Linked DNA regions of Astyanax mexicanus. The protein of the gene in region 2 interacts with the protein of the main gene of each other region in a pairwise test. Links are inferred from orthologs where the notes say so. Each region holds a gene or a part of one and is shown on either strand. Other genes may lie near its edges.

Region 1 (3,930 bases), on a different chromosome or scaffold from region 2:
ATTAAACTGGGTCACCCAGAACCTCCTCATTTCCCTTATGTCTACTATCCAAATAAAACTTTCTCCTATATTCTGGAGCACTACTGTTAGGGTTTGATTGCATTCAGCAACATTAGCATTAGTGTGTCCAGGCATTAGGCATAGTTCCAATAGGTTTATGTATATCTGCTCCAGAGGGTCCTATTCTATTGGCAGTTATTTTCAGCACTCTTCTGCAGGGACTAGGCAAGCAGTGTGTGCATTTGCACATCTGTGTCAGTAGCAATGGGTGACAGCTCAGACAGTACTAGCTTTCACCGAATTGTAGATGATGAAACTACCTCCACCATGTTTGGAAGCTGTACTTATATTTAGCCTGGCTAGCTCTCACTGTGAGCTGTAGATGAAACTACCTCCAGCTATCAACACCATAACAACCAGCTAGCAACCATGTGGCAACACCATAGCAACAACTTGGTATACCATGGTAAACACCTGGCAACAAATTAGCAACCCCCTACAAACAGCCTAGCAAGCAGCTAGCAACCACATAGCAACACAATAGCAAGCACCTGCATACTCCATAGCAACCATCTAGAATACCATAGCAACTATCCAGCAACACATTAGAAACCACCTACCATTGCAACTATTTAGTAATGCATTAGCAAGCACCTACAAACAACCTAGCAACCAGCTAGGAACAACCTGGGATACCATAGCAGCCACCAAGCAACACATTAACAACCACCTGGCAACACCATAGCAACAACCCACAAACTCCATAGCAACCATCTGGCAACACATAAGCAAACCCCTACAAAGACCCAAGCAACCAGGTAGCAACTATCTGGGATACTATTGCAACTATCTAGCAATACATTAGCAAGCATCTACAAACACCCTAGCAACCAGCTGGCAACCACCTGGCATACCATAGCAACTATCTAGCAAAACATTAGCAAGCACCTACAAACACCCTAGCAACTAGATAGCAACCACCTGGAATACCATAGCAATCATCTAGCAACACATTTTCAACCACCTAGCAACACCATAGGAAGCACCTACAAACACCCTAGCAACTAGCTAGCAACCCCTTGGAATACCATAACAACCATCTAGCAACACATTAACAACCACCTGGCAACACCATAGCACGTGCCTGCAACCATCTGGGATACCATAGCAACTATCTAGCAAAACATTAGAAACCATCTAGCAACACATAACCACCTAGCAAATGTCCAGGATATGTTTGGTGCACAACTATCCTGCGTTCCATCACAAAATGTACTTTTCTCGTTATTATTGTTGTCACTATTGAAATTAAATAGAAAATCAAAATATAGAATCAAACAACAATTTTACTGAAAGATATAGATATAAATAGTAAAATTAGAGAAACCGATCATTTTAAGGAGATGTTTAATAGAAGATAAAAGGTTTGCTCGCTCCCAACTGCAATTATGCATGTGCTGACGTGCAGCACGTGACAGCTCGTGCAAACGGCAAGTGTGGCATTGCATTATAACAGCAGCAGCAGCAGCTCGAGCTCCAGTGCAGGCAGGGACGTGCAGGCATGCATGCAGAGCGCGGCTATTGTCTTACTGTCTGGATGGACGAGCTGTCACCATCAGCATCAGCATCATCATCGTTATGGCCATCATCATCATCATCATCATCATCATTATCACTATCATCAGCATCACTTTCCCACCATCATCAGCACCAGCCTCCAGCATCCCCCCCCCCCCCTTACCTTCTGGATGGTCTGCTGGGTCACCTCTCCTTTGCCCCTCGGGCGCGTGGACGAGAACGTGACTGACATCTTCCTCTGCACCTCCGGAACGTGAGCGCACGCGCGTGCACGCACCCCAGTCTGGATTATACCCCAGTAATGTGTTATATATTTATATACAGGTCTCTGCGCGCGCGTCTCCCGGAGCCTGCTTGGGTCTCTCTGCGCGCGCGCACACGCCGAGCACGCGGGGGGCGCACGAGCCTGCACCTGCAAACAGCACACGGCAGCACACACCTGCACGCGCCCAGAGCGCGCGGGACACTGTTGCACTAACGCACGCGGGTGATCAGGTGGGGTGCGGTGTGTATCAGGGAGGGTAGGAGCTGGATTTGCCCCCGGGGGTAAATAATACACCCCCCTCGCTGATTATGGTACAGTCCGCCTAGCGCACATTCATAACAGCGCTGTACTCACACTGCGCATGCGCAGCTATGTCTCTATAATTTTAACTCCTTATTCCCTACATTCACTAACACGCTAGGTTATTCTCATTTATTTATTTTCTTGTATAAATAATTAGAAATATAATTATTTTTGATGTTACATTAATAGTTATTTTCTGAGCACTTTCTGAGCGTCTCATATTGTATAAATGTTTAACTTATTAATGTTTTTCTATATTAGCCAAATAATAAACATATATTGTCCCTACTGGATCAATATAATAATTATCATTAATTACTTACTGTCCACATTATGCTAAAACCTATATTTACCATATAATACAACAAATATGCTACACCATAATGTTTTTTTCTTATAATAGACAAATAATTAAACAGTTACACAGTTTTAATGTTTTTTTATTTCTGTATTTCTGTACAAATAATAAGCACTTATTTTCAATGTTGGGCTAGAACTTAAAATGAGTATTTGTTTTTAATTCAATTATGCACAATTACACGTTTATATTAGGTAAGCAATTAGCACTTTTTCTGGTGTAATTTTTTTGTATACATTTTTTCATATATATATATATATATATATATATATATATATATATATATATATATTTGCATTGGACACACTTTACTTAATTTCTATTTAATTCCACATAATTTGTATAGTTCACTAATTATCCTCCATTTTTCTTGTATTAAAAATTATAATTAGTGCTAAGTATCTAAGATCATTAATTATTTAATGAAAATATTGGTAAAATAATAAGTACTTGTTTTGGCATATCAGGTCCATAATTATAATTTATTTTAATATTCGATCAATAATTAGCATTTTTCTTGTATTTATATCATACAAATATAATATGTATTTTTTACGTATTAGAACAAGCATTTTTCATTTATTTCTTATATTAGATCAATAGTTATAATTTATTTATTTTATTTAACCAGATATTCTCCCTTTTCCTGTATCAAAAACATAATTGCCACTTATTTTTATCTATATTAGAGATTTTTTTTTTTACAAATGTGTTATTTTATATAAATAATGACTATTTATAATTTATCCCTGTGTTTTATTAGTATAGTTCTTATATAGTTATTTTGTAAAAATATAAAAAAATAAATAAATGAATAAAAAGCTGTATCACTGTAGATTTGGCGAATCTCCTACTCGTTCTTGTTGCCCTGCTGATTCCACCCAGTTCTAACCAATCGCCGTCTTTTACCAGCTCTCTTATCCAATCACAGCGCTAGAGGGCGGGGCCTGTGTGCAGTAGCGTGTTGGTGCCGGAGGGGGGCGCTGGAATTTTTGCTGTTTCATTCAGTCAATTCACTTTCACTTTTACTTCATACAGAACTGAGACCGGGAGAGACTCAAGCCAGCAGAACCGAACCGAAGCCGAACCTGAACTGAGCAGAACCACCATGAGCTACGACCGAGCCATCACCGTGTTCTCACCTGACGGTCACCTGTTCCAGGTGGAGTACGCGCAGGAAGCCGTGAAGAAAGGTTCCACCGCGGTGAGTCTAGAACCACCTGATCACACCTGAGCTTTTATTATATAAATCCTCTACTGTATGAACTCTTTCTGTATTTCGTGTATTTTTTTTAGATATCCCAAAATAATCACTAAATAATTAGTTAGAATAATTAGATATTTAATTGGATTTTATTAGGATTTATTTAAATAAGTTTTATATAAATGTATATGGACGGCCTGTTAATTTCCCGCAGAACAAAGG
Region 2 (3,930 bases):
AGCTTTTAAAAATATTTTGTTTACAGTAAGTTCAAGTTAACTGTTTCTGTAGGTGTTAAAATTTTAGCGTACCTCTTCAAAGTTGACACTGATAGCATTGTCGAGAATGCACTGACAGTGGGTTTTGTACATCATTATCAAAGTGTCCACCTAAACAAGAAACGCATCAACAAAGAAAGTAGCACTTAATTAAAACGGCAAATATACAGGATGAACACATCAAATAAACTATTTTATTCATTAGAACAACAGCAAACAAACCTTTTCCTTTGAAACAGAGTCATCAAGTACTAAATGCTGTGCACTTGGAAATTCTGGTAGTAATGTTCCTGTTTTAGAGCTAAGTGAATATTTCCGTGTGAAGCCCCCCTGTGATTTAGCAAAAGAAGACATGTTTTGAGGAACTAACAGAAATAACAATATTTCATATTTAATTCCTCATTATATTTAAGTAACAATAAACATAACATCAACTATTAAAAATGCCAACCTCATTTTTGAGCTTGCTCCCAGAGAATCTGTTACAATGCATAAAAGAGTCATTAAGTAAAAATAGCAATTATTACATTTTTTTAAAAGTACATTATACTTTTCTATAAAGCATTAATTTACATATTTAAAATTCTAAATCCTAGAATCTCCTGATCTGAGCAAAAACAAGCAGAAATGCATTGTTGGTTGAAGCTTTAAAATTACCTGGTAAGACCTTTTCCTGAATAAACTGAATGATAATAGGAGCTGCTCTCCTTAATCCCTATACCGTAGTAGTGATACCTGGAACAATAAAAAAATACATTTAAACACTGTTCATGACTAAAACTGGTGATCTGGCAAATTAATTAAAAAGTCATTTTTGTATCACTCTCACTCTCTGTGATCTGTCTTTGTCTTACTTTGAATGGCCTCTGGTGCCGAGCCTCCGGGTTGTAAGTAGTGGAAATTTCTGCCGTATAGTCTACAGTAATAAAGAAAGTAAACAATCAGTAAATAATAATAAATGTAAATTTTCTTTTGTTTTTTGCAGTGTACAAAATCTTAAAATCATTTTTCTACTATTTGAAGGAACACTGCTTACTTTGCCGAAAGTGGCGGCACAAGCAGGATCTAGCTTCTCCTTCCGACAGAAGTCCAGGTAATGAGCGTAGAGGATACAGCGAGGCAAGCACACACCTTCACAAACTATATAGTTTTCCTCAAGCCTAATTCATGAAAATGTAAAAAGTACAAAATAGGGCATAAGTTGTTTATGGAAATTGAGGTAAAGTCAATGTAATATTATTGAGTATTGCTTGATAAAACTAACTTGGTGTAACTGGATAAGGATAATGAAATAAGTACCACAATAATGTTAGTTGGGTCTGTTTCTTCTTGTCTTTGATGATTTGACTGATGCTTTTCTTTTCGACACTTTGCTTCAGAGCAATGTTCTTTGAGTATTCAAGGTGGTCTAAGTCATCTTCAGAGGATATGGTTCCATTGCTTTCCTCTGCCTCTGTCAAATAAATGAATAAACAAAGATTGCACTATACTTTCAATGGTCTGGTTAATCAATGCCATTTTTTAAAATACTGCTTTGAAAATGTAATAATTATTTTATCATAAACAACTTTCCTTACTGCTGTCTTTATGGAAAAATAGCTTAATATGCATTAAATGCCATTTTTATAAACTCTTGTTTTATAAACATTGTACCTGAGATTTACAAACATAACAAATTCCAGCATTAGACATTTATTAATTTACCATCATCCACCATAAAATATAATACCATAAAAAAAATATTTTACTGTGGCACAATTATGTATATCATATGAACTGTCGAAAAAAAACTTTCTATATATTTATAACTGACAAAATAAGATCTATTCCACTGTGTATGGACGGTGCTGTTAGACAAATAAACATGCCTCTAATATGTGATCCGATTAAAGCTCTAATCCTGACCAATCTAAAAATATGAAAAAGATAATACTAACCTGATTTAATTCCTGAATCCTCCTCCTCTTCCTCAAACGTTTCTTTGAAAAACATGTTTTTTCTAAGGTCTTGCTGCTCACTGGAGTTTGCTGGGTGGAAATCATCAGCATTACTGTAAGTCCTCTTTGGCTGTGGTGGCTGAAGCTGATGAAACATGTTATTCTCCACAGAACTTCCACTATTCCTTTTCATTGGCATGTTACCAGGTTCATTCAAAAAGATGAGCTGTGGACACACTCAGTCTTCCTCCGTTCCAGATATTTTCAATAAACACTTTAAAAAAGAGACTCCAGTTTGATGCATTGGTCCAGTACTGTAATGGTGCACATCTCAGGTTCTGGAGAAAAAAAATCACTAACACCAAAATGAAACAGTGTACACAAACATCCTTTACACTAATATTCAAACTGAAATTTAGAAAGAATCATTTTGTCCACATCCAAACATCAAGCCGCTGGAATACGTTACACCTTCCTGTCTTAATTAAAGCTGTGCTGTGTCTGAAATAGTACGTCACTGAGGTGAGTGCCTTGGGGGCATTTATCTTATTTACAGAAGACTGGCAGTAGATTCTGTGTATTAATGATTAACCCGAGGGGCCATCGTCTCCATCAAACCTGTTCTGTGGCCTTTCCACTGGACTATAGCCCCATCCAGAGCCTTCATTCTGCAGTGCCTGCTTTCAGCAGGGCTAGGGCAGCAAGATCATGCACATCCTTATATCCTTAGCACTATTTTTTTTTTTTCATCTGAAAGTTTTTACCATATAGATGCACTTTGTATGTTTGTGGTTACTGATTTTATCCCCTTCTACTGTTTTTTTTTTTTTTTTTTTGCATTTAAGGGTCACCACTAGCTTGAGAGTCCACCAAAAAAGATCATATGTGATTAGAAACAGACTACTAAACAGGGTAAGAGAATGACTTTACCAAGCCATGTTGATATCATTGTTTTGCTGAGAATGGCCCACCACTCAAATTACATGTTGTCATTAATGTTGCTATGATGGCCTTTTTCCGTTAATGAATATGGCGTGGGGATGGGGTTATAAATAGTCGAGGAGATGTCCTGTTTGCTTTTTTATTTTACATTATAAGGATTTAAAAATGCAAACAATCCACTTTATTTTTAATTATAGTAGATCCAGTACATAGGAAGACATTCCTATATATATATATATATATATATATATATATATATATATATATATATATATATATATATATATATATATATATATATTTTTTTTTTTTTTTTTTTTTTTTTTACTAGCTACTTGCATTTGGCACACTTCAACTATAAACTGTACTCTAAATGCTAATCTGAATAGAGCAGATTTAGCAGGACAGTGCACAAAATATTAACACAATAATCTGTTACAGACTAACAGGACCTGTCCTACGTGTGTGCTTCTGCTGCTTTTCATTTTTTTTTCCAGATGAAGTCAATCATGCTTACCTTTGCCTTAAATTCATCCTTGCATTGAATGCACACAGCAAGTCAATGGGCAGCTTTCACGTGGGCACCCAGGTAGCAGTAAGGGTTAAGGACCTTGCTCAGGGACCCAACAGTGAAGCTTAGCCAATACAAGTTTTAAACCAACAATCCTTTGCATTTTTAATTAAGCTTTTTTAATTAATCCTACATGTCAAACGCATTGTCTTCTAACAATATAAGTGTGCTTTGTAAGAAAATAAATAATTTTACTTTCCAATTACTGTAAATAGTAAATCTGTTGATCCAGTGCAATACTTAAGTACCAAAATCTTGAATTCTTTAGTACAACCACTTAAGTTCTACTCAAGACACTTTTTTGACAGAGCTCTTGTACTTTCACTCAAGTCTATGTGTCTAGTATTTTATACATGTCTGGTTATCTGGCATAAGGTGTTCATTATTAACAGTCTTGCCAGTATCTATTAGTTTAAGTGATTTTCACATAGAAAAACAAAC

Evidence for each region.
Region 1: the proteins of rfx6 (region 2) and calcium-responsive transactivator interact in binary tests that used the Homo sapiens proteins (3 or more experiments, as listed by UniProt). The two-hybrid records come from large-scale screens. The link is inferred for Astyanax mexicanus from reciprocal best matches to the Homo sapiens genes RFX6 and SS18L1.

The regions. Positions count from the first base shown.
Region 1 is NC_064420.1:51,064,182-51,068,111, reverse strand, and holds the start of calcium-responsive transactivator, read right to left. Parts: upstream 2,129-3,930; 5' UTR 1,811-2,128; coding exon 1,742-1,810; intron 1-1,741. Other genes in the region: proteasome subunit alpha type-7, read left to right, coding at 3,613-3,708. UniProt on the Homo sapiens protein: Transcriptional activator which is required for calcium-dependent dendritic growth and branching in cortical neurons. Recruits CREB-binding protein (CREBBP) to nuclear bodies.
Region 2 is NC_064408.1:80,257,185-80,261,114, reverse strand, and holds the start of rfx6 (DNA-binding protein RFX6), read right to left. Parts: upstream 3,072-3,930; 5' UTR 2,176-3,071; coding exon 1,977-2,175; intron 1,493-1,976; coding exon 1,339-1,492; intron 1,200-1,338; coding exon 1,076-1,199; intron 956-1,075; coding exon 894-955; intron 775-893; coding exon 697-774; intron 519-696; coding exon 491-518; intron 370-490; coding exon 262-369; intron 151-261; coding exon 73-150; intron 1-72. UniProt on the Homo sapiens protein: Transcription factor required to direct islet cell differentiation during endocrine pancreas development. Specifically required for the differentiation of 4 of the 5 islet cell types and for the production of insulin.